Ovis aries: one gene and its partners. The protein of the gene in region 5 purifies or fractionates together with the protein of the main gene of each other region. This does not show direct contact. Links are inferred from orthologs where the notes say so. Each region holds a gene or a part of one and is shown on either strand. Other genes may lie near its edges. The genes, in order: SF3A1, HNRNPAB, FUS, KPNA2, HNRNPU, HNRNPA2B1 and DIMT1.

What was found.
Region 1: the proteins of HNRNPU (region 5) and SF3A1 purify together in Homo sapiens (affinity purification with mass spectrometry; 3 studies listed by BioGRID and IntAct, with this or other methods). This does not show direct contact. The link is inferred for Ovis aries from reciprocal best matches to the Homo sapiens genes HNRNPU and SF3A1.
Region 2: the proteins of HNRNPU (region 5) and HNRNPAB purify together in Homo sapiens (affinity purification with mass spectrometry; 4 studies listed by BioGRID and IntAct, with this or other methods). This does not show direct contact. The link is inferred for Ovis aries from reciprocal best matches to the Homo sapiens genes HNRNPU and HNRNPAB.
Region 3: the proteins of HNRNPU (region 5) and FUS purify together in Homo sapiens (affinity purification with mass spectrometry; 7 studies listed by BioGRID and IntAct, with this or other methods). This does not show direct contact. The link is inferred for Ovis aries from reciprocal best matches to the Homo sapiens genes HNRNPU and FUS.
Region 4: the proteins of HNRNPU (region 5) and KPNA2 purify together in Homo sapiens (affinity purification with mass spectrometry; 3 studies listed by BioGRID and IntAct, with this or other methods). This does not show direct contact. The link is inferred for Ovis aries from reciprocal best matches to the Homo sapiens genes HNRNPU and KPNA2.
Region 6: the proteins of HNRNPU (region 5) and HNRNPA2B1 purify together in Homo sapiens (affinity purification with mass spectrometry; 4 studies listed by BioGRID and IntAct, with this or other methods). This does not show direct contact. The link is inferred for Ovis aries from reciprocal best matches to the Homo sapiens genes HNRNPU and HNRNPA2B1.
Region 7: the proteins of HNRNPU (region 5) and DIMT1 purify together in Homo sapiens (affinity purification with mass spectrometry; 3 studies listed by BioGRID and IntAct, with this or other methods). This does not show direct contact. The link is inferred for Ovis aries from reciprocal best matches to the Homo sapiens genes HNRNPU and DIMT1.

What each region holds. Positions count from the first base shown.
Region 1 is NC_056070.1:69,356,454-69,359,953, forward strand, and holds part of SF3A1 (splicing factor 3A subunit 1), read right to left. Parts: intron 2,103-3,500; coding exon 1,895-2,102; intron 804-1,894; coding exon 546-803; intron 1-545. UniProt on the Homo sapiens protein: Component of the 17S U2 SnRNP complex of the spliceosome, a large ribonucleoprotein complex that removes introns from transcribed pre-mRNAs.
Region 2 is NC_056058.1:36,983,677-36,987,830, forward strand, and holds the start of HNRNPAB (heterogeneous nuclear ribonucleoprotein A/B), read left to right. Parts: upstream 1-1,354; 5' UTR 1,355-1,394; exon of another isoform or gene 1,395-1,561; intron 1,562-1,637; 5' UTR 1,638-1,659; coding exon 1,660-1,868; intron 1,869-2,591; coding exon 2,592-2,760; intron 2,761-3,430; coding exon 3,431-3,589; intron 3,590-3,762; coding exon 3,763-3,894; intron 3,895-4,154. UniProt on the Homo sapiens protein: Binds single-stranded RNA. Has a high affinity for G-rich and U-rich regions of hnRNA. Also binds to APOB mRNA transcripts around the RNA editing site.
Region 3 is NC_056077.1:27,781,693-27,785,641, reverse strand, and holds the start of FUS (RNA-binding protein FUS), read right to left. Parts: upstream 2,801-3,949; 5' UTR 2,729-2,800; coding exon 2,716-2,728; intron 1,172-2,715; coding exon 1,147-1,171; intron 1,061-1,146; coding exon 906-1,060; intron 138-905; coding exon 1-137. UniProt on the Homo sapiens protein: DNA/RNA-binding protein that plays a role in various cellular processes such as transcription regulation, RNA splicing, RNA transport, DNA repair and damage response. Binds to ssRNA containing the consensus sequence 5'-AGGUAA-3'.
Region 4 is NC_056064.1:48,653,715-48,657,904, reverse strand, and holds the start of KPNA2 (importin subunit alpha-1), read left to right. Parts: upstream 1-1,390; 5' UTR 1,391-1,492; intron 1,493-3,098; 5' UTR 3,099-3,121; coding exon 3,122-3,196; intron 3,197-3,345; coding exon 3,346-3,483; intron 3,484-4,190.
Region 5 is NC_056065.1:31,691,209-31,694,708, reverse strand, and holds part of HNRNPU (heterogeneous nuclear ribonucleoprotein U), read right to left. Parts: intron 2,555-3,500; coding exon 2,415-2,554; intron 1,853-2,414; coding exon 1,753-1,852; intron 1,411-1,752; coding exon 1,298-1,410; intron 983-1,297; coding exon 719-982; intron 563-718; coding exon 443-562; intron 118-442; coding exon 1-117. UniProt on the Homo sapiens protein: DNA- and RNA-binding protein involved in several cellular processes such as nuclear chromatin organization, telomere-length regulation, transcription, mRNA alternative splicing and stability, Xist-mediated transcriptional silencing and mitotic cell progression.
Region 6 is NC_056057.1:71,303,366-71,307,591, reverse strand, and holds the start of HNRNPA2B1 (heterogeneous nuclear ribonucleoproteins A2/B1), read right to left. Parts: upstream 2,801-4,226; 5' UTR 2,633-2,800; coding exon 2,627-2,632; intron 1-2,626. UniProt on the Homo sapiens protein: Heterogeneous nuclear ribonucleoprotein (hnRNP) that associates with nascent pre-mRNAs, packaging them into hnRNP particles.
Region 7 is NC_056069.1:17,147,897-17,152,158, forward strand, and holds the start of DIMT1 (probable dimethyladenosine transferase), read left to right. Parts: upstream 1-1,462; 5' UTR 1,463-1,580; coding exon 1,581-1,659; intron 1,660-1,998; coding exon 1,999-2,072; intron 2,073-3,314; coding exon 3,315-3,401; intron 3,402-4,262. UniProt on the Homo sapiens protein: Specifically dimethylates two adjacent adenosines in the loop of a conserved hairpin near the 3'-end of 18S rRNA in the 40S particle.

The DNA of each region.
Region 1 (3,500 bases), on a different chromosome or scaffold from region 5:
TAGACCAGTCTCCACAAAGACAAGAGATTTCTGTCTTCAGTTCACTGCTGCATACCCAGAGCTTGGAACAGGGCCTGGCACGCAGAGCTTTTTTGCTGAGACAGCAAATGGTGGCCTCATGTAAAAGAGCTACTCTTTCCAACCAGCCCAACCGTACCCACGCTCACTGGCAAAGCGGCTCAGCCCCGCTCCACCCTCCTTGTCTCCCTTCCCCAGAACCACATCTGTTCCTGGAATTCCCGAGTCCAGAGCCACATCAGCACCCTCAGGTTAGAGTGCTAAAGGTCCATACCCACGCTCTGCGGCAGAAGGACCAGGAGTCACCCCTGGAAGCACCCTGCTAGGGCTGGGTGTTAACCCAGCTAGCACCCAGCTAGCCCTGGAAGTTAACCCAGGGCTCGCTTAAAATTGACACTGTAATCCTAATAACCCTCGGGTCTGGTGACCTGAATGACTGTTCAAGGCCCCACCCAGGAGCGGGCCCCCTGCAGGCGGCGTGGACGGCGCGCTGGCAGCAGTGTGCGCTCCCCCCGGCCCCCAGGCACCTTGGTGTACTGCTCCACCAGCTTCGTGAAGTAGTTGAAGAGGCTGTGCTGCGGGCGCAGGAAGTCAAACTGGTAGTTGCGCTGCTCTTTCTGCATCAGCTGGGTCAGAAACTGGCGCCCATTCCTGGCCACAAACTGAGCCGTCAGCTTCACCACGTCCAGGTCGAAGGCTGAGATGGAAGGGGGGTCTGCGATGAACTCAAACTCGGGAGGGGGCTCTTTGGGCACAATGGTCTCTTGTATCACTTGGGCTTGAACCTAAGATGCAAAGGGAATGTGAGGCGAGAGGCAAGGGGTGGACTGGCTCCAGAGACGGGGCACGCACGCACCACCGGAGGATGGCATGGCCCCCTACTCCTCTGTCAATCACATGCATGCCCCAGCACGTGGCGGGAAGAGAAGCCCAACTCAAAGAGCGTCGATGTCTCGGCCAAGTGTGGCCTCGACTCCCTGATGGCTTTCTGAGTGAGAACCGTGTCTCTCTGCGTGTCCATTGCTGCCCTGAAACTGAGGACCGAAACTGGGTGGCAGAAGATCCAACAGGGATGGTTTATTAAATCCCACGCAAAGGGGCAGAGGATGTAGGAAGCCCTACACGTGTGCAGAGGACCTCCCCTTCTGGCCTCCACACGAACCATGAAGTGGCCACAAGTACTGTGAATTCTTTCTATACAGGAGGAAACTGAGGTTGCCTGAGGCACCAGGAGTAATCAACTGCAAAGTACGGTCTCAGAACCTTCTCCAACCTTTCCTTCCCACCGTCACACAAGGGGCAGCCTTTGCCACCACGGCTCGGGAGGCAGCAAAGAGAAAGGCCCAGTCCAGGTCTACACAGGAGGCAAAATGTGTCCTCACTGACGGCCCGAGCCACCCGCAGTGCTCCGAGGGCATGCCACACACAGGGGCCCGGGAGGCAAGACAGGGGCGAGGGACACGCAAGAAGGGGCCCACAAGCCACGCCGTGGCACTGCCCGGACGCCACGGCCAAGGCAAGGAGCAGGGGCTGGGAGCCTGGGCTGCAGGGTCGTGACTCCGCGGCCCTGGGTAAATTGGGCTTCCCTGGGCCTCAGAGTCCTCGTCTGAAAAAGGGTCATTTTACTGGCTTCCTCCCGCAGCCCCTGAGAGGCACCAGTCAGACAAGGCCGCCAAAGCTCTGCACACAGAGCTGGACAGGCCCTCAGCCAACGCCAACTGTCAGCAACCCTCTGCTGAGAGAGCCTCAGCACGCACCTCTGTAAGATGCAGACAGAGGCCTCACGTTTCTACCCACGTGGCTGTGGGGTGTGGACAGCAGGTCATCGTCTCCCTCCCTCACCCCTGGGGCAGCGAGGCACAGGGCCGGTTCCCACCTTCTGGGGCAGCTGCTGCTGGGAGGCCTGCTGCTGCTGCTGCATGACCTTGGGGATGGCGGCCGAGGGCTCCTGAGCCTTGCCCTCCTTGAACTCGCTGACCTTGTGCCGGTAGTAGGCATGGTAAGGGTCGTTGGGGTTCAGGAAGTTGAACTTGGGGTTGTTGATCTCATTCTGTCGTATCCTCGCTTCAAATTCAGGTCCATTTCTAGTAAAAGAGAAAAAAGAGAAGCATCGATCCTGCAGCCCTCTCAAGTGCTTGGACCAGAATACGGCTCACTCAAGTTCCGTTCTTGCCACCACCTACCACTCAAACGGGCCCCTCCCTTGGCTGGCACAGCAGACCACCTCCCCGAGACTCCTGGCATCAGCGGCCAGCGCCCCCGCCTCCTGCAGCCCATGCAGGCCCCAGCGACCCCAGGGCCTCAGACCTCCGTCATTCCTGCAGCACCTCCGCCAGTCTCACCCTCTCCAAAATCATCTCGTTATCGCTCTTCTAATAAAATGTATTCACTTCAAAGAAAAGTACTTTAAAAGGAAGGCATGGGAATCCCCTGACGTCTAGGGGTTAGGACCCCATGCACTCTCACTGCACTGCAGAGGGCTCCGGGGGGGTGGGCAGTGGGGGTGCTGCGGGGGGAGGGGGCAACAGGGGGAGGAAGGCGTATGTCACTACTTCAAATAAAAGTCGTTATGGCTTTGCTGACAAAAGGCAGCCACACCAGGCAATACAATGAGAGCAATGCAGCATGGTTCAAGTTCAGTTCAAAGTTTGCTGAGACTGAAAGCAGTTCTTAGTCAAAAAGCAGGATGACTGAGTGCTTGGGAGGCATCAAGGGTGTGTTAACGCTAAACTGAGATACTGTCCTCTAACTAGCAAGAATGGGGAAAAAAAAGACAATGTGAACAGGATTTAACACCTTGGATAAGTATTGGCTGTAATCATCTCCTTTACTACTGGGTGGGACTCATACAGGAAACACTGCTCTCCAGGCCCGGGGGCCGAGCTGCAGCATAAAGCACGCTCACCGGACAGCGACGTGACGTCAGGGAGGCCCCTGTCTCTCTGTATCTGGAGGAGTTTCCCACACGCACCCTATGTCCCCAGTGTGTATGCCTTTAAACCCTCAGAATGAAAAACGTCCTTCTCATGATGTATAGGGAACCCTGATTTTTTAATAAAGAGTCCCAACAGTAACATTTCAAGGTGTCACACATCCACAATACCCGTATCAGTCAGAAAGTGCACTCACCTTAAAGACACAAGATATGGACGTGTTCAAGTTTTGGGTTCACTGCTGACTTACCAAGTTACTGAACGTCTTTTTGACCCAACTTCCCATGGTAAAATACGGCTAAATACCACCCTCTCTCTCTACTCTGAAGTATTGAGAGAACTGATTAGTGAATGAGAAGCCAAAGTCTATTGAACCGCACAGGCCTGAACACCCCAGGGCCTGTTGCTGCTCTGAAGGCTGGAAGGGGCTGCCCTATGAACAGGAGAGGTGACTTGGGAGCCGGGAGACGTCTGCGGGGCCTCCCTCACTCCTCTGGCCAGAGCCCTGCTCTCAAGAGCGCCCCGGACACATCAAGGGGTGGCTCCAGA
Region 2 (4,154 bases), on a different chromosome or scaffold from region 5:
TCCAAACGTGAAATTGTGACATTTTACATTCTCATGGCAACTTCACTGGGCTTCCCTGGTGCCTGCGATAGTAAAGAATCTGCCAGCAATGCAGGAGACCTGTGTTCGATCCCAGGATTGGGAAGAGCCCCTGGAGAAGGGGCTCCAGTATTCTTCCCTGGAGAATTCCATGGACAGAGGAGACAGTAGCAACTATAGTCAGGCTCTTTGGGACCATCGGGTTGCTGGACACGACTGAGCAGGTTGGCTTAGGAAGTGAGCCTCAGACCAGAGCTCTGGGCTTGTTTTCTCCTTTATAAACTGGTTGTCAACTTCCATAGGGTTGTTAAGAGACCAGATGAGAAAACAGAATGCCCAGCCCACCACACTGGGCCCGGCCACAGGATCCCAGCGGGAGATGTCAGCTACTTGTGTTCTGCTGTTATTTGGCAACCCCCGAGCTTCAGAAGTTTTAATCCTTCTTCATTTGGTATTTCTCACCCATATGGTTAAAAGGAATCATGACTATACAGGCCTTTCAAGCTTGGTCAAGAAGATAAATAAGTAGTTTGTATATTAGAAAAAGAGAACTATTCTTCCCTTCCCCAAAACTGCATGATTTCAAGGAAGTGGTGTATTCTTAAAAACAGATTTCAGCAAAAATAAACGAATCGAAGATATTAAGTAGTCAAAAGTAAAAATGTGATGCTAATCGTCAAGGTGGTGCCAAGCGACCTAAGAATGGGCAACACCGCAGTCCCACAGTTTCTCCCGCGTGGAGCACCATTGGCCACCCGGCGAACTCCGCCCCCTCCTCGCTTCTCGCTTCGGGGGGAAGCTGCACAAGGGGCTGGATCGTGTGGCTTGGACGGCACCAAGGTCAAGGGGGACGGCTGGTTCCGTCCCAGTTTCTTGGGGTTTGGAGGACACTACGCGCCCAATCTCCGAAGGCCGGGTTCTGCACTTCCAGTCGGGCGACCTTGGTTTCCGAGACTTCCTGGAGTCCAGTTTCCTCTTTTGGGAAATGGAATGGCCAAGGCTGCCAGTGCTGGTTTAGGGCGCACGGGGACCAGAGTCTACGGCCTCAGAGGCGAAGGGTCAGGCTTGCGCCTCTCCGGTGTGGGGCTCAGACCACCGGCCACTCGGGACGGGACCGTCAAGCCACCAGACCCAGGCACCCTCCGCAAGGCCCCGGCTCGCGCGGATTCTAAAATGAGGACAAAGCCCGCCCGGATCTACCGTGCGCGCGCCGCTGCGGCCAATGGGAAGCCGGCACGGGGATGAGTGACAGACCGGCGAAGCCAATGAGCATGCACCTTGTTGCGAGGTGGCCTTGGCTCCGGCATTATAAAGAGCGCCACGAGTCGGCATTGTCAGGCGGCGGCACCGCGCGGCCGGGGCGAGCTTTGGAGTCGGTGGGTTCTTGTGGCTGCGGAGGCGGACTAGGCTAGCGCGAGGTCCCAGCGGCTCCGTCGGTAGACGGGGGAGAGGCCCGGCAGCGCGAGCGTGAGCGCGGCTGAGCCCGCGGGTGCCTCCTCGGCGGGTGGGGACGAGCGGGCCCCGCGGCGTCATCGGCGGCGAGGTGAGCAGCCGGGCCCGCGGGCGGGAGCCTGGGCGGGAGTGGCGCCGGCCTGACGCGCTGTGGCTGCTCGTTGCAGGAGCCGCGCGCCTCGGCCTAGCATGTCGGAAGCGGGCGAAGAGCAGCCCATGGAGACGACGGGAGCCACCGAGAACGGACATGAGGCTGCCCCCGAAGGCGAGTCGCCGGCCGGCACTGGTACCGGCGTTGCGGCGGGCGCTGGAGGCGGGAGCGCGGCGCCCCAGGCCGGCAACCAGAACGGCGCCGAGGGTGACCAGATCAACGCCAGCAAGAATGAGGAGGACGCGGGGTAAGTGCTGCTGCGGGCCGACGGGGGCGCCGCCTTTGTTCCGGGGCCGCCTTTTGTTGGCGCCACGCGGCGGGGGGAGGGGCGGGCGGCCGGGGCCTGCTCGCGGCCCGCAGACCGGCAACTCCGCGCCGCCCGCTTACGGCGCGCGCTGGAGTTTGCAAGAGTTTGTTGGGTCGACTTTAGCGCCGCCCCGGGGCCGCTGGCGCGGGGACCTGCGGCAGGCGGCCCGGAAGGGGAGTGAGCTCGGAGCCGGGGCCTGGCGGGTCGCGCTGCCTAGGCTGCGTGGGCGGAGTTGGCGCGCACCCGGGCCTCCCTCCTCCGGCTCCTGCCGGGGGCGGAGTCCTGGTCTGAACTCTGACTCGGCCCCGGAAGCCTCGAGTTCCTTGAAGTGATCGGAGGTGGCAGGGACTGTAGTGTTTTGATACATAGTTGTTAGACAAATTAGATTCCTTCCGGTTGTGAGACCTCAGGTCCTAGCTCTCCGGCCAGGTTGTGCTTTCTTTCCTCAACCAGCCTAGGGTATGGAGTCACCTGAGGCTTTATTAGGGTCTAGGTTGAGTTTGGAAGGGTAGGGGAGACTCGTTAACATATTCCAGAGGTAGAGCCCTGTTCCGAATGGTGGCTTTCTAATCCTTTCAGTGAGAGCTTTGTCAGGGTCTATCCTTCCAAAATCACGGGTTGGTTATAAGGCTTGTTGCTGTATGTCTCACCTCACTATTTCAGAAAAATGTTCGTTGGTGGCCTGAGCTGGGATACCAGCAAAAAGGATCTAAAAGATTATTTTACCAAATTTGGAGAGGTCGTTGACTGTACAATAAAAATGGATCCCAACACTGGCCGGTCAAGAGGGTTTGGATTTATCCTCTTCAAAGATGCAGCCAGTGTGGAGAAGGTAAGCTGGGGTAGTTCACAATCAGGAGTCTCAGTGTATTCCAAGATAACCATTCTTAGACTATGATTGGCTTATGTGTTTTGCACAGCTGAATGCTCTGGGAAGAGCAGAGAGGTTGAGAATTTATCCTGTTCTTTTCCAGGGGATTAAAAGTAGAGATTAAGTGGAGGAGTGAGTATGGGCAGGGGTGATCAAGGAAGGTTTATAGTGGACCATTTATTATCTTGTGCCTATTCTGGACCTTGCTAAAGCAAACATTTCATTGAGAAGATTAGAAGAGAGCCCACAGTTGCTAGGAGATAGGCATTACTTTAACCTCGTTTTGCAAAAAACAGAAGATTAAATAGAAGAGATCACATAGCCAGTAAAGGGTGGATTGTGAGGATTCCAGCCCTAGCAGCCTAATTTTAGCCTGTGCTTTAAGTTTATGGAATTGGCTAGGCAAGAAAAGGGGTGCGGGGCATGGTCAAAAGTCTTGGGGGTGGTTTGATAGATTTCATAAACCAGGTTAAGTCTGGAGATTGGGTTGGGAAGTCAGGTTGGGGTAGAGTTTGGAGGGGATGAAGCAGTTTCGTGTGCCTGTGTTGGGAGTCTTATGGCTGAGAGAAAGAAGGTCCTTGTTTTGGGTCATGCTGCTGAGTTAGACCCCAACTCCCTTCCGTTGGAACAGGTTCTAGACCAGAAGGAGCACAGGCTGGATGGCCGCGTCATTGACCCCAAAAAAGCCATGGCCATGAAGAAAGACCCAGTAAAGAAAATTTTTGTAGGGGGTCTGAATCCTGAAGCCACTGAGGAGAAGATAAGGGAGTACTTCGGCGAGTTTGGGGAGGTGAGTGTGTGGTCCCCACAGTGGTCTGCCAGCTGCAGTGATGTTGCCTTCTTACTGGTCCTTGACACCTTGGCTGACTGGAACTTTTTTTCACTGTGGTGTTTGTGGGCCTTTTCCTATGAGTTCCCTATAGGCTCTGAGGTAAGAGTCTTGAGCTTTGCCTATGTTTGCAGATTGAAGCCATTGAGCTTCCAATGGATCCAAAGTCGAACAAAAGACGAGGCTTTGTTTTCATTACCTTTAAAGAAGAAGAACCTGTGAAGAAAGTGCTGGAGAAAAAGTTCCACACTATCAGTGGAAGTAAGGTAAGGTGTCCCCAGCTGTGTGTGCACTTAGCCTTCTGCTGGAACTGGCCTTTGCAGGTGTGGACTAGGGCTTGAACCACCTCCAAGAGTTCTCCAGGGTGGACCGGACTGTTTTTGTGCAGTGCCTGCTGTCCTGATAGGGACCAGTGGTCCTGTCCTTCAGCGCTCCCAGGCTGGCAGGACAGGACCTGAGGGAGGCAGGAGAATACTGGAGCATGGGCGGCCCCTCTGGGACGGGTAGTGTGTGAGCAGTCTCTTCA
Region 3 (3,949 bases), on a different chromosome or scaffold from region 5:
GGTGCTGCTAGGAGCTGGCTGCTGGCCATAGCCAGGGTACGAAGACTGTTGCCCGTAAGACGACTGAGAACTCTGGCTACTGCCATAGCCACCAGTTGAGCCATATCCCTGGGGAGCTGACTGCGTGCCGTAGCCTGCTACAAGGAAAGGAAAAGGGAAGTCACAGAAGCTATGAGGAAAGAGAACAGGCAGGGAATGCACTGAGAACAGCCCTGTATACCACTTAGTGCTTCCTGTACTTGGTAAGTCAACTTCTTAGAAAATGCTTGGCAATCTTGCAACTCATAGCTAAAGAGATTACCTTTTCTACCTGAAAGCTGTGTTTCAACTTCTACTCAAGTTTTAAGTTCTAACCTCATACCACACACCCCCAAAGCCAGCCTCCAGGACCACCACTAGTCATAGCCCAAGAGATCTCTTGTCACTAACAGCACTTTAACCTGCCCGCCCCTGGCAGAACAAATAAAGACAAGGCGTTTTATTTACACTCCAGGGACCTCAGGGCAAATTCCACTTCCTGGTGTATCCACGTGATGCCACCTGACTTCAAATGTCTTCAAGCAAGTCATTTTCCCTCTTTAAAAGCCTAAAGCATTTCTCCCTCTAGAGAATATTCCTCCCACCTTCATTTCACTTTCATGCTTAGGGGAAATTGGGAAAATAGCAGCATAAACAGAAAAGTAAAAAGTAACAGAAAATAAAAGGAAGCAGGATTACAAACCAATTAAGTCTTTTTGTTTCAAAGGACTCAAAACATCCAAGAGCTTTAAGGGTCAAAAACCGGTTAAGGGGAATGTTTCAGCACTGCTTAGGTTTAAGAAAAGCAACATTCACAAAAAAAAAAAAAAAAAGAAAAGCAACATTCACAAAGAGCAGAAGAGGTGGGGTGACCCACTAAGACTCACTATTCTGGGTCTGTCCGTAAGAACCACCGTAGCTGCTCTGGCCATAGCCCGAAGTGTCTGCAGACTGGCCGTAGCCACCGTAACTCTGCTGCCCGTAGGGTTGACTGCTCTGCTGTGAGTAGCCTTGCCCAGGCTGAGTTGGGTAGGCCCCATAGCTGGAGAAAAAACAGTGCTCTCAGGAAAAGACATCTTAACCACCCTCACCCTCTACAAACTCTGGAAGTCCAGAAGGGACACTCACCTTTGGGTTGCTTGTTGGGTATAGTCTGCAAAAGAAAAACAGGATTATATTACCTTCAGCCATTTCTCAGAATAGACGAGCTAAAAGACTTAAGCTTCAGGGTCCCCAGATAAGAAAATCAACAAAGGAGGCATATATTCCCTCATGAAATTCTATGGAGAGGGGCAGTCTGTGAGACCCCAGACAAGTTTTCTTACAATGAAAAAGGCAACGAGAAAGCGCATTTCCACAAAACCAAGAAAGACGCCTTAAGTACTTGAAAAAGCAAGAGTGCTAACGGACAGCAGCAACCTGTCCGCAACTTCAATCGATGTCAGAACTGCAAAGATTTACGCATTTCTTTCCCACGCTCCCTTGAGAAAGAAGACATCGCCAAGAGTTAGGCTGAAACCACACAGCTGTTTCAGCAGGACAGGTTTTTAATTCAAGCCAGAGGCAGAACTGTTCCGAAGGGAGCCTCCGCTTTCTCAATCCAAAGAACAAGAATGTCTCACAAAACGCCACGCTTCACCCTTTGCCCAATCTTGGAGCCTGGAAATGGGAGCTTCTGGTGCAAAGCCAGCTAACCAAGGGAAGAGAGCACTCTGATCAGCACGTTGGCTGGTACTCAAGCCCCCAGCCCTGTGGCTCCCAAACGAGTGCGTTTTCCTGTCCCTCTTGGCTAACTCGGGGCTGCGGGAAGACTAGGCGAATCCAAAGCAGCGAAAGTGCTTTTTAAAACGCCACATGGAAGACGCACGGGCCTGATCCGCTCATCTCCTCGATACAGGAAACGAGGCGCTTCCCCCGCAGGAAAGAGCCAAAGCACCGAGAGAGGGTGTGGCCCCAGGCGACAGTTCTTTTCAGTTCCCACCTCTGCAAGAGGAAATTCAGGCGGGAAAGGCCTCGGGCCCAGTCCTCAAGACCGTTGGACCACTCCCCAGCCCCCCACCCCCAGCCGTTAAGCGGGCGCGCGGCCCAGACCCCGAGCCTCCGCCTCTGGCCGCGTGGCAAGCGAGGCGGGAACGAGGCGGTCCCGCCCCTTCCCGAAGGACCCCGGGGGCGCGGCCCACACCGGACGCGCGCCGCGGAGCCTCCAGCCGAGGGTCTCGCGACAAAAAGCAGGGCAGACAGGAGACCGGGGTGGGGGGGGCGGTTCGCGCCGCCAGAAAGGGGAGGAGGGGCTAGCAAAGCGCGTGCGCGCTCCTCCGAGTGCCCGGATGCAGCACTGCGACAAAGCGGGCCCGAGCGCGGGGCTGGGGACGAGGGGGAGAAGAGGATACGGAGGCCGAGCATTTCCATCCATGCCTCCCATTCCCAATCACTAAGCCGCGTCTCTCCCAACCCTCACCTCAAGGAAGGGGGCAACGAAGGGACGACCTCCCGCCCCACGCGAGGCGCCAGATGAGCAAAACAAAATGGCGACATCGGCCTCCCCCTTCCACCCCTCTCCGCTGCTTCTAGCCAGTGGTGCGAGGAAAAGATCCTGCACTCGATAGCCGCCCGGGTCCCACCGAAAAACAAAAGCCGGACTGGGAAGGAATGAGGTCCGGGGCCGGCGCGCCACGATCGCCTCGCGCCCTTACTTACCGTTTGAGGCCATGTCCGCGCACGCGCGCACAGGCCGACAAGCAACAAGGTTCCAACACTACAGAGCACCGACGCCTCGAGGACTGAGCAACCCCGCCTCCTGCGTCGAGGTTTATGTACGCCTCCCCGCCTACGTCTCCCGGGGGAACGTACCAACTACGGAAAGGAAAGGGGGAAACATGGCCGGACTCCTGGCACTCTTCAGGGAGTATAGAGGATCCTAGCAGGCAGAAAGGAAATATATTAACTAAGAAACGTTCAGATCATATAGATAACCCTTTTTTTTCTGACAAAGAACTATTTGCTTTGCAAGACTAGCCCACGTTTCACCTCCGCCCCTAGGATGGCATAATGGTACGATCCGATTAACCCCTGGGGGCGGGGCAAGGGGCCCAGGGCTGCTGCGGGCGGAACTGTAGTCAAAGCCGGGAGTCGTAGGGCGGGAACCGAAATTCCTCAGGCTGGCCCCTTTCACTGGGCCTCACTTTCACTCGGGGTGTGGAGTTCCTGCGTTCCGTTCCCCTTCCACTTTTTCAGACGCGAACTCCCTCCGGCACATCCTCCCTCTCTGGCTCTAATGTTCCTCCCAAGACAACAGACACAGACCCTCTCTCAGCGTCTCGGTTTTCACTCATCGTCTTTTTGGCTTACCTCTCTTGAGTCCTTATCAGGGTTTGTAGATTGTGCCTTTTGACATGAAAGAAATAAAGCAGGGAGTTTAGCCCAGACCCTTCGGTCCTAGTTTGATCAAGCACTGATCGCCCACCCAGCGTCCTCAAGCCTTGGCCCCTGACTAGCTGTTGGACGGGAAAGCCCAAACCCTCCGGATCTCAAAGAGCGTTGAGATTAGATAGGTATCTCCCACCCTTTCACAGATGTTTTCCTGAAACTCTATCAAGAAACCAATGTGGAGATCCAGTAGTAAGTGATATTTGTATAGAGCTGAAGTCGTTTCAAAATGCACAATTAAATGCTTTCCCAACACAGTCTTATGAAGAAAGTAAGCTATCCCCATTTTATAGAAAAGAGAAATAAGACACCGACCAAGAACAATCCGTGATTATAGAACAGGTATCCTGATTCGAATCCAGGTCTGTGCAGCTACAAAAACACTCCTTTTGTTGGTTATGTGAACACTTTGCGGTATTCTGAAGTCTTTTCACTCTCTACAAGAACGAGGACAAAATGTGAAATTCAAATTAACTTGCAACTTGCACTCTAGTCAAAGTTCCTA
Region 4 (4,190 bases), on a different chromosome or scaffold from region 5:
AACAGAGCCTGCTTTCCTACCTCTCATCATTAAACAAAAGGTATCCGGCTTCTCAACTGAATGAATTTAGGTCACATGACTGCCCCTGAACCATTCACAGTAGCCTGGAGAATACCATGTAGTGACTGGTTTAGAGGTGAAATCCCACAACCTTGTGCATTTAGGGGGGGTAAGATTATCCTGATTGGTTATGTGGAAGTAGAAGGAACCTCCATGACTCTCATTACTGTTACACAATGAGTGAGGCTGGCAAAAATGCCTGCAGGAGGGACAAAGTTCATTGTTTGAATCATAGTAAAAAAAGAAAAAGCCAATACAGCTTTTCTTAAAAATACCCTTCTCAGGATACAGAAAAGCTGCGAAAAGAAAGTGGACCATAATCCTGAGGTTCTGATGACTATCACTGAAGCTTTTTTTAAATTACAAGAAAATGCAAACATTTTATTTGAAATATATAAAATATAGCATAGATCATTACTATAACAATTGATGATCTGAACACAGAATAAATAATCGCATATAAGTTCAATTGTCTTGAATTTGATGATTATGGTGTGGTAATATAACAGAATGTCCTTATTCTTACAACATACAAGCTGAAATATTTAGGGGTAAACGGACAAGATTTCTCAAACTTACTCTCAAATGGTTCAAAAAGTAATATGTAAAAGCCATGTATATATAAATAGAGGTACACGTGCATGTGTGTATACATATATATATACATACACATCAAAATAGTAAATTAACATTTAACAAATATGGATAAAGATTTGCAGTTCTTTTGTATTTCAAATTATTAAAAATAAGACTGGAGAAGCAGGCATTAATAAAGCTTTTGTTAACATAGTTCTGCCTTCTATGCAGTCTTTTATGACACAAGTTAAAAACAGTAACTAACAAATGCAGCACATATCTGCCTTATCCCTCCCCTGCTTGATGTCCAGAGACCCCGGCAAAGTTCTTTCTGAGTCCCATCGGGAAAAATGCATAGCAATATATTTCTTTATTAAGATTTTTAAAGAGAATTATTTTGGGAATCATTTGTGGTACTTAGTTAAGGCAAACACTCAGGAAAACGACCAGCCACCACACCGCGGTAAACCCATGCAAAGAGCTGACCCTCCGACCAAGATGGACAGGGAACCGGCCCTGCGCGCTGCATGCCGGGATCTGGAGTTTTTCTTCTCCGCACTGCAAGGCTCTCAGGGATCGCGCGGCCGCTCCCTTATCTCGCGATGCTATCCTATCTACTTCTGGGCCCTCTGACCCCTCCCCAGCTAACGTGTTTTTCAAATCCACCAATGGGCGTATAGCGTAAGCTCGAACCAGCCAATCGGAATGCGGAGCCACCGGGAAATTTAAATCGCGCCGGCCGGCTGCACGAGCCACACCGTCCTCGGGCTGACCGTGGTAGACGTTTGGAGGCAGTAGATCCCGCAGCTTGTGCGCCGCGCACAGCCTCCGGTGGACGCTTGAGCTTGCTGTGTAGGTAACGAACTGAGGTCGCAGTGCAGGTGGAGCGACAAAGGCTGGTCCTTAGGCCGCTCTTGGATTGCTGGAGGCGGGAGGGGAGTCCCGGGGTAGACGCCCGGCCAGGCTTCGGCCTCTCTGGTCGATGAGGCCTTGGGGGCGTAGTTCGTTGACGAAACGGGTGTTTCACTGTGGATGCGAGTGCATGGGCTTTAGTGCCCGAGGCCTTGCGAACCGCTGCAATCGCCTTTGAGTAAGAATTATTAGAGTCAGGCCCGAGAACGAAAGCCTCGGTAGGGGGCCCGACGCCTCTGGCTCCTCCTCCGCGGGTTCCCGCTGCTGCTTCCCCGAAATGGGGGTGGGGAAGGGGGTAGGGGAGGGGACTGCAGATGGAGGTGGCAGTTGGAAGTGCTATCTCTTAATTTGTAGGCCCTGGGTTGGCTGTGTCACGATTTCGTAAAAGAACAGAATGGAATTAAAGATAGCCACTTTGAAGGAGGACTTTTGTGATTTTTTTGGGAGATTGCTCTTAAGTAGGTGAGTTTGAGTGGAACGCAGCTGATAGAGCCTAATTTAGTGCATTCACTCAGAATTTCTGGAAATGAAAACGTGCGAGATGCTGAACTGCGTCGCAGGTGTTCAGGGTGGGCAGGAAATTTTATGAAAGTTTACATAATGTTAACGACGAATCAGATTTTTAAATATTTTCAAACGTGCAGAATGTATCTGTTTGGGCCGTTTAAAGCCAGTAGAGCCTCGGAGAAGGCAATGGCACCCCACTTCAGTACTCCTGCCTGGAAAATACCATGGACGGAGTAGCCTGGTGGGCTGCAGTCCATGGGGTCGCTGAGAGTCGGACATGACTGGGCGACTTCACTTTCACTTTCATGCATTGGAGAAGGAAATGGCAACCCACTCCAGTGTTCTTGCCTGGAGAATCGCAGGGACGGGGGAGCCTGGTGGGCTGCCGTCTATGGGGTCGCACAGAATCGGACACGACTGAAGCGACCTAGCAGCAGCAGCAGAGCCTCCAGATCTGAATTTGTGGCCCGTACGACATAGATTTTAACTGTAACCTTATATCCCGTACGTTGTCTTCAGTTAACTATTCATGGATCCTATATAGAGTCTAGAGCCATGCTGTGCAGTGTGATAGTCACCAAAGGCGTGTGGCTAGTCTAAACTGAGTTAATGCTGTAAGCTTAAAGTACCTGCAAGATCTCGAAGAATTAGTATGAAAAAAGAATGCAAAATAGTTCAGTAATTTTTTTGATGTAATGTGTTGAAGTGAGAAAATAGATATTGGAGTAAATAAAATATATTATTGAAGTTAATTTCATTTGTTCCTTTTTGCTTTTAACAATCGTGGCTACTAGGAAGCTTAAATTTATACAGCTTGCATTATATTTCTGATGGACAGCACTGCTCCTGGAAGCCTCAGCCCTTCAGAGGGGAGGGGCCAAATATAATTTGGCCAAAACTCATGTTCCATAGTGCTGAAAAAGGAAGTTCCTCCTCTAGTATGGAAATACGGATTGAACGTGTATTTGATAATTCCCTTAATGCTATGTTATTGCCAAACAAAGTGATAAAAAGGAAATTTTTTTCTCTCCCCTATCTTGCAGCTTTCTCCCTTTGTCTCATAATCATGTCCACCAATGAGAATGCTAATTCACCAGCTCCCCGCCTTCACAGATTCAAGAACAAGGGGAAAGACAGTACAGTGAGTACCTTCTGTTGTTTTTCTAGTATTTTTTAAATGGTAAGGTATTTGGAAAGAGCGTCCACACTTTGAGTGAATTTAAAAAGTTGTCTTCACTTGGCACCTAACACTGATGTAATAGGTGAGATGATACGTTATCTTTTCTCAAGGAAATGAGGCGGCGCCGAATAGAAGTGAATGTGGAGCTAAGGAAAGCTAAGAAGGATGACCAGATGCTGAAAAGGAGAAATGTCAGCTCTTTTCCTGATGATGCTACTTCTCCACTGCAGGAAAACCGCAACAACCAGGTGAGGATATTTTAGTTTATGAGTTATGGTAAACCCAGAAAATCAATATGAGGCCTTTCTGAGATATTTAAATAACATGTCTTAGCTTTGTGGGTTTTAACTATCAAATGTGAAGATCTGTCTTTGTGTGCTCCTGTTCAGTAATTCTGATGGATTATCTTCCCCCCGCCCATCCTCTGTAATCTGTGGAAGCTGATTCCAAGGTTGTCTTTAGCTCTGATCTCCCCTTCAAGTTTCCCTGCTTTTCCAGTTGCCAGCTTTTACTTTGAGTTGGCCATTCAAGTGTTCAGTGAAAGTATGTCCAGAACCAACTTTTTTTTTTTCCTGCCTTTTTTTTTCTTTCTCTCCCTTTCCCTTCCTCCCTCCCTCTCTTTTTTTTGTAGTTGTCACCAGCTTTTTTCAGGTCTTTTTCCTCAGCTGTCTCTTGATTTTCTTTCTGTGCCACTTACTGTTTACCTAAAAGTTTTCTTAAAATACTGCTTAAAACATCTTAGAAATTTTATGATTCTAAATCCTTTTTAAAAGGTTTTTTGGAAATTAGACCCATCCTAGAGTTCTACTCATGGAGACTTCGTGATTTTATCAGAAGTCAGGGAAAGTTGCTCAGTTGTGTCCAACTCTTTGCGACCGCATGGACGATACAGTCCATGGAAGCCAGAATACTCTAGTGGGTAGTCATGCTCTTCTCCGGGGATCTTCCCAACCCA
Region 5 (3,500 bases):
GAAATTTCGCTTCTTACGGGCAGCAATCTCAATAAACTTTCCAAGACACTGTGGAGCTCTCTGCAACAGCGTGTTCAGTTTTCCAGTATCTGCCATTTGCTTCTTAAAACCTGCCACCTTTTTTTAAAATTAAAAATAAATTTTAACATTGCCTTTCCTCAATGCTACAAGTAAGGACATTTTATCCTGTAACACCACCCAATGCCAATCAACTCATCTTTATCTACTGGATAATTGAGTTAAAAAAACTTCTACAGAAAATGGAGTCTAGTCACTGGAAAGAAAGCAGTTTACCTTAGAGGTGAAGCACCTACTTACATAAACATTTAACTGTCCAAACTCATCTCTCTAAAATACTAAACAAAATGGATAAAAACAAAAGTATTACCTAGAATACCTTCTAGTCTTTTAAAAATGCTGAAATCAAGCCCATTTTACTTACCATCATTTTATCCATTATGGTGTTTGTTCCAAGAATGTTGTATTTACCAGGATTTTCTGCTGCATGTTTAGTAACCCAGGTAGTTTTTCCAGCTCCTGGCAAGCCAATCATCATAACCACCTACAATGGAAAGAACTGTTTAAATATTTTTTTTAAATACACAAAAGCCCAGTTTACACATTTGAACTTCCACAGCCTTTTAATGGGAACAAGTATAGCAGTAAATTAAACAGAACTTTAGCCAAGCTTCAAAAAATTTTTTTTCTAGTGACTTACTTCGCAATCTTTCTTCTCTTCAGGCCCCTTTGGTCCTCTAACTCGATCCTCCAAGGGGACATTCTGGATAAAAGTATAGTCTTCAGGTATTGGAAAATATGGCTTTTCCTTCTGACCAAAATTAAATTCAACTGCACAGTTGTGGCACAGAACATGTGGGAAGAGTGGTCGTCCAGCAAGAACTTCCTTACTGATTTTGAAGGCAATGCCAAGATCTTGTCCATTCTTTGCGTAAGAGAGTTCTACTTCATCACTTTCAAAGTTCTGTTAATTGGAGAGAAAAATTAATGGGTTTTAATATGCTTCTTGTAACACTTCTTAAAAAAAAAACCAACCTAGGAGTAAAGCGTATCCTGTGGATATTTAGGTTATATGTTTAAATAGCTTGGTGTGAACAATTAAAACACCTATGTCCACAAACAGAAATTAATACTATCCAAAAAGACTAGATTTGGGGATCAACTTCATATTAAGTTTTCAGTCAAAATCAATCAGTAATTGAAAGTTGATATTGATATAACTTTAAAATAATCTTGTCTAATAACTTGCCATTTACATACAAATTTAGCTGTGACTTACAGCAAAACATGTAATCACATCATTTTCATCAAACTTCTCTCCATAATCTTCAGTCTCACAGTTGCATGTTTTTATTCCTTTTAGAGAATATCCATAAGAAAATTCTTCTTCGCCTAAGAAAATAATTAACTTTCATTAAATCAACTCTCCAGAATAAACCGACCCATTATTTTTTCAAGATGTAGGGTTTAAGAGTATACTATACTGACTTTATACTAGATATAAAAAGCTAGGTGGTTATTTAACTAGTTGACAAACTGCATGACATGACAACATTCTATTTGAACCATCAGCCACAAACCAATTAACTATAAAGAAAGAAAAGCCAAAATTTAGCCTATGCTCATGTTACTATCATCTCTAAAAAACAGGCAAAAAGTTTAGAATGCCTGCTAACTACTGAAATCAAACACTAAACACTCATGAGTACCAAGATACTCAAATGGAAACTTTACCGAGCAACATTCCACTTGTGGTTAGTGACCACCCAATCCGAACTTCATGTATGTCAATATCTTTCGTATATAAATGCCTCACTGGGATCTTCTCTGTAACCTGAAAGTCAAAGATAAACAAACTGTGAACCAAGGAAAATAAACCACTTAATCAACCCTAGTTTATTTCATTTGGGCAATGGGCTAATTCTTCTTCAGCTACTAAGTACAGAGACACACCAACTTTACGCTCCCCCAAACATTTTTAAGAAATTCAAAAATTAAGGGCTTATAACTTGAAGCTGAAAATTTACTTGGTTGAGTCACATTTAAAAGAAAATGTTGAAATTATATATTCTCAATGCTTCAAAACCAACTAAACTTTATTCTTTAACATGTTTTCCTCAGAACAAAAACTGGAGCCTAACCAAATTTTTTCAAACCTTTGGTGGGCCTTTCAACTGCCTGATAAAAAAATGAACACCCTAAATAAAAATTATGCTGGCTCTATCTACATGGCAACTTCTAATATAACAAACATCTTCAACTACTATAAAACACAGGGTTAGTCCCTCTTGTAACCCACAGAAACTTGAAAAAAATAGAAGTTCCACTGATATCTGATAACAGGCAAAAACCTCACGAAGCTTAAGAAAAAAAGAACATCACAAAACTACTTTTACCTTCATCTCAAAACAGACTTTGCCTTTTGACACACCATAAGATGCCCTTCCTCCAGCCCAAAGAAAAGCAAAACTCTCCATGGTAAGGGAAGAAGCACTGAGGCGATCTCTTGATATTTTAAAATGTAGATCACAATTATCTGCAATTATATCAAATGCCATATTATTTCTTTTGATATCCACTATAAACATCTGCCATGTAGACAAAGCTGTTATTAAATTTTCACATATTTCTGAATGCTGCATACTACATTTTTACAGATGCTGTTCTAATTTTCAGTTTAAACCCCACTCCCACCAAGTCATTCTTGCCAAATCATGAACTGAAGCGTACACTACCTATGCAGCTAACAAATATAAAGGTTTAGCATATGCGTACTTTAAGTATATAAAATAATCAAGACAATGTGACATTTATACATACCTGCTCTGCTCTTTACCTTGATTTAGAGGCAAGCAGTAGAGGATAGCAGGAAATCAAAGTGAAGCATGCCAGACCAGGTAGAATTTACCAGTGCCACAATAAAACTGAAGGGAGGCCATGACCAAGTATTTTAAAGTAAAGAGTATGAGCTGTTGATCCTCACTTTACAGGGGTTCTAGATCTTAAACTCTTTGCTAAAACTTGTTAAGAAGGCAATCTCAGTCTATACAATACAAACCTGGTCATCAATGCTGTTACTACTACAGCATTTTAGGTCCCCTTTCCCCAGATATGCCTGTTAATAAGTATGGGGGATTACACACTTTGGAGTAATCCAAATCCAAAACGACTTTAACCTAGCTACCTTTGGGTCACTGGCTCATTAGCATGCACCTTCTGAGTTCTCAGTGGAAGCAACACTAAATTAAGAAAGCTAGTTTCCTAAGTTTTACTGGAGAGATGAAATTAAACCTACAGTCTGGAATTCCTTACATAAGCTTTGCTCTTTACATTTCTGATACAATGTTCAACAAATTATACTTGAACCCAATAATGCACTTAAACTGGTATCCCTTGATGAGCTAAAAAGCCTTTTATAACAGCATTATCTTCCTAAACCACTGCTTCATAGCTCGCCAACTATAAGCAACTAAACATAAAAC
Region 6 (4,226 bases), on a different chromosome or scaffold from region 5:
CTACACGTTTCAAAATCATTATGCTTGATATAAACTTACTTGACATTAAATGAGTTTAAACAAATATAGCATCACTTAGTTTTAAAAAAAATCTTTCTGAAGAAAGAAGAGCAAATCTAGTCCCTGGTGACTGTAAAGTTAAGAGTCTTATCAACATCTGCATTCGATCCTATAACTTAGAACAGAGTTCACTTTTACATATTCAAATACAAATTTTTAAAATATAACAACTTTCGCTTTATAACCCAGTTCCCATTTGTTTCTGGATTTAGCATTTAAGAAATGAGTTTCCCTTCATTGCTCCCTCTGGTGGTGATTATAATGTAACTCAATTTTCAAAACTCTGAAAAACTTAGTATTGACTTTCTTTCCTCATATACCAACTCTCCAGAGAAAATCTTAAACGTTCAATATATGTGGCAAAATAGCCTCAAAATTTATCTTTTCTGACGAAAGTATAAAATGACTTTTATGATTGACGGTCTCTAAAGCACATATTTTAACATAGCTGGTTTTGTTGATGGCCCAATCCACTATTACTGAACCAAAAGACAAATACAGTAAAAGACACTGTAACTTCAATTTTCAAAAACCATAAAAATATTTAAATGACCACTGTGACTATCCTCTCTAGTTACAAAATATCACTACGACTTACACTTCACCATGTAGAACTCAGTGGTCTTTTGGCAAATTACACAGCATAAAACAACTTTCATGTGAGAAGAGAGCCTGAGCTGAAATCTCAATCCTTACAAACCAGCACGCATATAAGCTACATTAATAGCTCTGTATTTGGGGCTATCAGTTAAGGAAGCTTGGATCATTTTATTTGGTTTTCAGTTGACTAGGTTAAATAACATTCAGAAACGAAAGTTAGCCACCAAGTGCACGTAGGTAAATTAAGTAGAACTACAACACTCAACCCATAGTTCCATCAAGTTTCTCTCCATGCATGATATTCTCCCAACATGTTAGAAAACAGTAATAATGCAGAGATTTCTTTGCCTGTACAGTTACTTTTAAGATTCTGAAATTTTTGAAAAGACAAATTCTCAAACTAGCTTATCAAACACTTAAAAGAACAATCTATTAAAACGGTAACTTGACATACTGGTATTTGTACACTTCACTTAAGCATATTTTATTTATTCCAAACACTTGTCAGTTAACTGGCCTTTTAAAACCCCAATAAAGAGACTAAAATACATCTACAACATTACAAATCACTAACAAAAGGCAAAAACTCATTACTTACCTCATTTTCCAAACTTACCCGCTGTCCACTATCGATTACAAACAAAGTTATTTTATAAGCGTGCTTAGGGTCAATGAAAATACCCAGGCAGACCCCCTTCGCTTGAGACCTTATGCTTATCAATGTAATCATCAACCATGATTGCAAACATAAACGAGAAAAGCAAGTGACAAAGTTCAAAAACACAGTGGCTCAGCCTAATAAAAGTTTTGTATACAGCAGAACACGCATTGAGGGACCGAGCCATGTTTTAATCAGAGTACAACTAAACTCATAATTTCAAGTTTATCACTAAAAAAACACCCGTAACCTTACCCAGTAAAGACTAAATTCCCCGGTAAAAATACTACTTAAAATACAAATAAATTATACGATTAAAAAAGAATCCGTCAGGAAAATAAAGGATTCTGAACCGAACACCGCCCCCCCCAAAGACCACCTTCCCCACGGCCTCCCGCAAAATCGATAATCTTCTCTAAAATTTTCATTTTATGTTTTCTACGATTCAACTGCCTTTTCAATCACCGGAAACGCAGGTAAAACTGTTACTCAAACAAGGACTGAAAAACAAAATATGAGGTCTTTATACCGTGGCACGCGTGAAACCGGGCCCAACACCCTAGAGGGTTTTACCTCCTAAGCCGAGCGAAACCGCCCAGGAGAACGCCGCCCCTCCCCCCGCCCTTCGGTGCGGCTCCTGAACGCAATGGCGCCATTTCATCGAGGGGAAAGGAGCGAGCCTCTAATGAGGTGCGCAGGACTTTAAAGCTCCAAGCTCCCTACACACTCGGAATCCACCTCGAAACAGCACGAAAACAGTCCGAAAAAAGAAATGAATAGTTACCCACTTCTAGTCCTCACTGAAAAAGTCAAGCTAGTCAAATCTAGAGAATTAAAAAGAAATCGCTGCGAGGAAGGAGAGAAATGAAAATGGCGGCCGCCAAATCCGGTTCCCGGGAGGGGGGAGGGGAAGCTCCGCAGCCCGGTTCGCTAGGACCCAAAACCCGCCGAAACGCTCCAACGCGGGGACGCCAGGACCCCCAAACCACCCTTCTTTAAAAACGGAGTAGGAATTCCTGCCTCCGCGCCCCACTTTCAGTAAAGTGGGGCTGCGTCCGCCATGTGGAAGCTCCCCATCCCCCACCCCCAGCAAAGGGAAATGGCGCCGTGAGGCTGAGGGTGGGGAAGGTGCTGTACAATTAGGCCTCTGCTAACGACCCCTCTCCAAAAATATCCTGAGACCAACCGCTTATGAAGTGGCCCAATTTCGCTGCCGCTCTCCCACGGAGGCGGATGGCCGACTTCCAGTAAGGCGCCAACGGCCTCGCCATGCCCTTTCCAACAACTCATTGATTTCAAACCCGTTACCTCCATCGCGGACTCAGTCGCTTCAGCCCGATTTCCCGCAGCCGAGCGAGATGAGAGAGATCTCCGCGGACGAACACGAACCGGACTCGTCCTGGCGCTGTAGTGAGAACTGCCGCTGCTCGAGAAACAACACCGCTGGAGCACCTCCACTCCAGACCCGGCGCTGCTGCTACTGCCGCTAGAGCCGCTGCCGCCGCTTTTCTAGAACCTTCCCCCCGACTAACGCGTCTTCCCTACGTCAGGCCGTTGCGTAAACGTCCTAACCGCCGCCAATGGCGGGAACGCTCTACGACCTCCTAGCGCCAAGTACGTGCCCCTCCCCCTTTAAGGCCAGCACTGATGCTGGACGTCAGTTGCGTAAAAGGGCTCTGTAAATTGCGGAAGGCTCGAGTCCTGCGTATTTCTGTCTCTCGGAATTGGGGACTGCCCCCGCAGGGCAGGTGAGAAACGGTCGCGCAGTTTGAAATTAACGCTGTTGGGAGGAGCTTAATCCTCAACCCAAAAGTCCAGCCCCCTCATCCCGGGAAGTGGTCCTTACAGCTACGCTTCGATGGCTTTTCCTCGGTCCCCAGTTTTAAAAAAATCTTTGTAGTCTCTTCCACTGTGTTTTCCCTCCCCCACCTTCTCCTATCCTCCCCTCTCTGCGCGGAGAACCGACTGACCCCTTCCGGAAACACCCGAAGCGACTTCTAGTCAACAAATTACACTTAACGATCCACCACCCTAACCCTGGCCAATGTTTTTGGGGTCCACATTTCAGGTAGTCGAAAGTGGTGCTCGTTCTTAGTTCCCGATTCCTCCCACCCACCCCCAACGTTTGGAGGCACCCAACCCCAGGGGCGAGGAAGTGGGCGGAGTCCTGTTTTGGCGCCAGTCGCTAAGGCGGCAGCAAAGCAGGAAACACCTCCGCTGAGTAGGCTTAGGTCGCGGCCCTCAGCTCCCTCCTCGCCCTCCCTTCGGGCGACCACCAGACGCCACGCCGCGAACTCTAAGAGCCGCTGTCACCGCCCCCTGCTTTCCCCCCTCCGTCGGGCCCGGGCTCCGGCTCGGGCTCCCGGCGGGCACTGCGCGGCGCGCGGCCCCACCCCCCGGGGCGCGCGCCCACCCCGCCCCTGGCGGCTGCCTGGCGTGGGCGGTGCCACCTTCCCCTCCCCCCAGCGGCGGCCCCGCGCGCAGCGCTGCTCCCCAGCCCCCCTCCCTCTCGGATGTGACTGGAGCTTGAGGCGCGCAGGGCCGGAGACGTCGCAGACCCGGGACCCGGAGCAGCTCAGAGGCGGTGAAGTCGGTGTCTTTTTTTTTTTCTCTAGCTTTCACTCGGTGGTGTTGCTTAAGATACCGCATAAGCCCCAGAGACCCGCATTTCCCCGCTTCCTATCTTCCTCGCCGGACCCTGAGTCAGGACCTGGCGGGAAGGAAAGGAGAAGCGAACAGAGACCCCGTGGCGGGCCTGGCTTCGGGCCGGCGTCTGTAGTTGGTTTAGGGGATGAGACTCTTCTCAAGGTTGAAAGCTGTGGCGCCAGCCGCCTTATTTCTAGACAAAGCGCATTTTTTCCTCCCCTCCCCCATCCCGGACGAGGTTGAGGGGGCCTTCCTTCCCGTC
Region 7 (4,262 bases), on a different chromosome or scaffold from region 5:
CAAATACTCTTATATCCAGTCTTTTTTTAGTGCTTTCCCTTTGAATTTTCAAACTTTCCCTGGCTAACTTTTGGTTGGCCTTTAATGATTCAGCTCAAATATTCTATTTTGAAAATGCTCCCCAGTCACCGCAAGTATTAGCTATAGTGCTAAGATCATTCCTCTTTTAGAGCACACTGTCTTCAGAATACAGAACGAGTTTCAAGATGCAGTTGTCATTTACTGTGTGATGTTGAGCAAGATATTTAACATTTTTGTATTATGAACACATCCTCATCTGTATTATGAACACAATGATAAGCCCCTATTTTAGAGAACTTTGAAATGGTGAAAAGATATATCGGCAAATGGTGCTATTACTGTAATTATTTGAATGTCTTCCTCTCTTGAAAGTTCTTTAAAAGCAGGAATTGTCATTCATGTTAATTTTCTAAATTCCTAACATTTGACACAGTGCCCGGCACACTGTGGATGTTCCAGAATTGTGGAATAAATCAATGATCAATGGAATTAAGAGACAGTTGAAATTGCTAACAGGGTATACACATTTTTTCCTAAATTAGAATTACAGCAAAGAAAGAGCAAGGCTAGGGAATGCACACAATAAATTCTGCAGGGAAGAGAAGTCAGCTTTGGTAAAAACAGATTGCTTCTTCAGGTAAATAGGTACACACAGAAACATTTTGCTGACAGCTAAAACAGACACGGACATTGTGTTCATGTAACTTTCAGTCAGATACAGCGTCCTATCACAATAGCCAATACATAACAATGACCACATTTACAGATTCAGACTTTTTGTCTAACTCTCTCAATAGAATAAACTTTGAGGTCAGTTTCCTATTTACCTTCGAATCTCCGTCACCCAGCAGTGTTTAATACATAGCAAGAGCTCAATATGGAAAGGTTTAGGAAATTAATGACGTGCCACAGAAAGAAGCGAAACCACCAGTAGGTCCAGTCAAACTAAGCACATAATTACATTTTCAGAGTTACTTTCCGTAATACAAGCAGCGGAGAATTCACTCCCGCTAAAGGAGCAAGCTCCTCTTCCCAAGCTCCTGGGATCCTCACCCACAATCGGTTGGGATACACGAGAGAAATACATGACATAAATTTTCTTTGGATTTGAGCGATTCAACAACCTAGCCTGATAAAGCATCCACAAGCCTAACTGCATTACGTAACCTAAGCTTCCTCCACTTCCTTGAGGTCCCACACCCAAACCTATTTAACTAGCTTGGTGCGTGTTGGGGCAAGGCCCCGCCCCCGATTCTAAACTAGCCAATCCAAACTGCCAGAATCGGCAGCGCGGTGTCTTCTGGGATCTGTAGGCTTCCGAGGTTAGGCTTCCCGGGAGGCCGAGCTTATTCCAGGCGGCCATCGGGCTCCAAAGGCCCGCCCTCTTTCTGGGGGCGGACCCCGGAGCAAACCGAGGGGCGTGTTTTCGCCCCACCCCCGCGTGGCCCGATAGGGTGCTGGTGGTGCGGGCTGGTGATTCCCACGTGGTGCGGAGACTAGAGGTTGCGGGTTCGGATCCTTCTTGACTTCCTCGGCCTGTGAGCTCTCTGCCTGCAGAGATGCCGAAGATCAAATCAGCGGCTAGCGGCCGCCGCCGCGAGCGGCAACAACAACGCGGGCAGCTGAAGAGCGCCGGAGGTGGGGACAGCCGCGAGAGAGCTGGGGTCCCTTGGGTTGGGACTTCCGGTGGGACCGAGCCGGGGCACGGGCGGAGTTCTGGCGGGGACAGTGAGACCGGGCGCCGGGAGCGCGCGAGTCCCGGGTTTGCCCGAGCGACGAGCGCAGGCCCCGCGCGCCGCCTCTGACTTTCCTTCACGGAAGGGGTGGCCTTAAAACAGTCTGTCATCCAGCTCCTTAGCGTGACGTTTGGCACCCCTAGCTGGAGCAGATACCGTCCCCTAGCTATCCTGTTTTCTTCTCTGGGACGGTCTAATGTTTTTAGTTGGGAAATTAAGGCTATTTCATGTTTTATTGCAGGACTCATGTTCAACACGGGGATTGGGCAGCATATTTTGAAAAATCCTCTCATTGTTAACAGCATTATCGATAAGGTGGGTGCGAAAGAGGAGAGGGAGAGAGTTACTGGGTTATTGATTTTAATTTTAGGAATATCTAAGCACAGATAGGATTCCTGACAGAAAATAGATGCTGTATAAATACTTGTGGAATGAATTGAAGAATTGTGTAGGATTCGCAAGTTCTCTTCAATATGATTTGCTTTATTCTGTGAGTCTCGGGTTCTGACTCCAAATTCTTTTATCTTTCTGTAGATTATTTACTTTTTAGCTTGACACTTCTACCTGTTCAATTCCAGATTTTTCTTCTATTACCAATCACTTTTTCTAGGCAGCATCTATCACTGTTAGTTTTTGTTTACTGCAAACCCTAAAATTATATCCAGACACCTTTGGAAGTTTGTTCCCCAGAGAAACCTGCATGTTATAAGCCAATGCCACATGTAAACTCTTCAGAGTATTCTTCCTGCATGGGTTATTGATGTTTTCTTATTGTTTTGTATGATTGGGAGCTAGGATGTGAAACAATAGGTGGTGAAGATTACTTTCATGGTTGCAAAGGAAGTATCCTGGCGCTGTAGAAAGGACATTACCTGGGTGAGAGATGTCAACTTAATGTTGTATGCAAAATGAGAGTTGGCCTAGCTTTTTAACCTTTTTGGCTCATGAATTCCTTTGTGCATGTGATGAAAGTTACAGACTCAGAATACTCCAGCTATGTGCATACGTATACATTTTTTTTCTGCCACATGTTGAGGGTTGTGGGATCTTAGTTCCCACACTAGGTATCTAACCCCGGCCCCCTGCAGAGGAAGCATGGAGTCCTAACCACTGGACTGACATTAATTTTTGTGTACAATTTCTGGATCCTTCTGCACCCCTGAAACCATACATGGATGTGGAATTGAGAAATACCAGTACAACATGCTATGGTTCATCATTTTGGTCCTTCCTTTTTGAACCTAGTGATAATAGTGTTGGTAACAAGGTGCTGTTGGAATCATTTCAAAGATAGGAAGGAGAATGCCACTCAGAACTGCTGTTCCTACTTCTCTGACTCCTAACTATTGCCCCAAGTTAGGAGAACTGTTCAATTTCCACTTGTGCCTAATGTTAATGAGATAATTTTTTTAAACATAGATCATGAAGCCATCTCCTAAAAATGAAGTCAGAATAAGATCTCCTAACTGTGCACTTTTGAGTAAAGCTATTTTGCTGTAAATTAAATTATGTGTTCAGACGTGCCTGTAAAGCTAAAGTAGTTGTGCTTGCTTGTAGGCTGCCTTACGACCAACTGATGTGGTGCTGGAGGTTGGACCTGGAACTGGCAATATGACTGTAAAGTTGCTGGAAAAGGCAAAAAAGGTAAAGAGAGGATTTAGTGTTTGGTATCAGGTATCATGTGAGTAAGTTTAGGTGGTTTACAAGTATAAATCTGTTTTAATGAATTGCTGTTATTTTAACAATAACTCTTGCTCCTTTGCTAGAAACTTTATAAAATATGAGCAAATTGGGGGGAGTCAAAAGGTACCAATTTCCAGGATAAAATAAATATGTCCTGGGGATGTAATGGGCATCATCATGACTATAGTTAACAACACTGTAGTACATTTGAAGGTTGGCAAAGAGAGTAAAAAGTCTCATCACAAGAAAAAAATTGTAATTGTGGTCATGAATGTTATATATATATCAAATCACTGTGTTGTATACCTGAAACTAATGTTTTATGTCAATTATGTCTCAATTTTTTTTAATGGATTAAAAGAAAAAAACATAAGTATATCAATCAGGAAAACGTATGACATTGGATACTTCAGTACAGGGAATTGGTTACATGGTTGTTAGAGGACCAAGAGAATAAAACACTGAGGTTAACCCAAGAGTAGAATTACAAAAAGCAGCTACCACCTCTCGGCTCAGGGGAACAAAGCAAGGGGATTGGAGTTATTGGACTTGGAACTTTGGAGGAGATCCAGCACAGGCCTCTGAGACTGGAGTGTCACCTGCCTGCTGCTGGTACCTTCTTTGTCTCTTGGTGGATCCAGTTCCAGTTAAGTCAGATCATTGCTGTGTCTTCTGGTAGATGCAGGCAACAGAGAACTTATCTGAGGAGAGTTCAGTGAAGAGACCATTGACAAGATGTGAGAATGTTAAGGGAACCAGTAAACATTTAGTGAAAAACCTAGGGACTATCAACAGCAGGAAACAGTTACCATCGAGCAACCT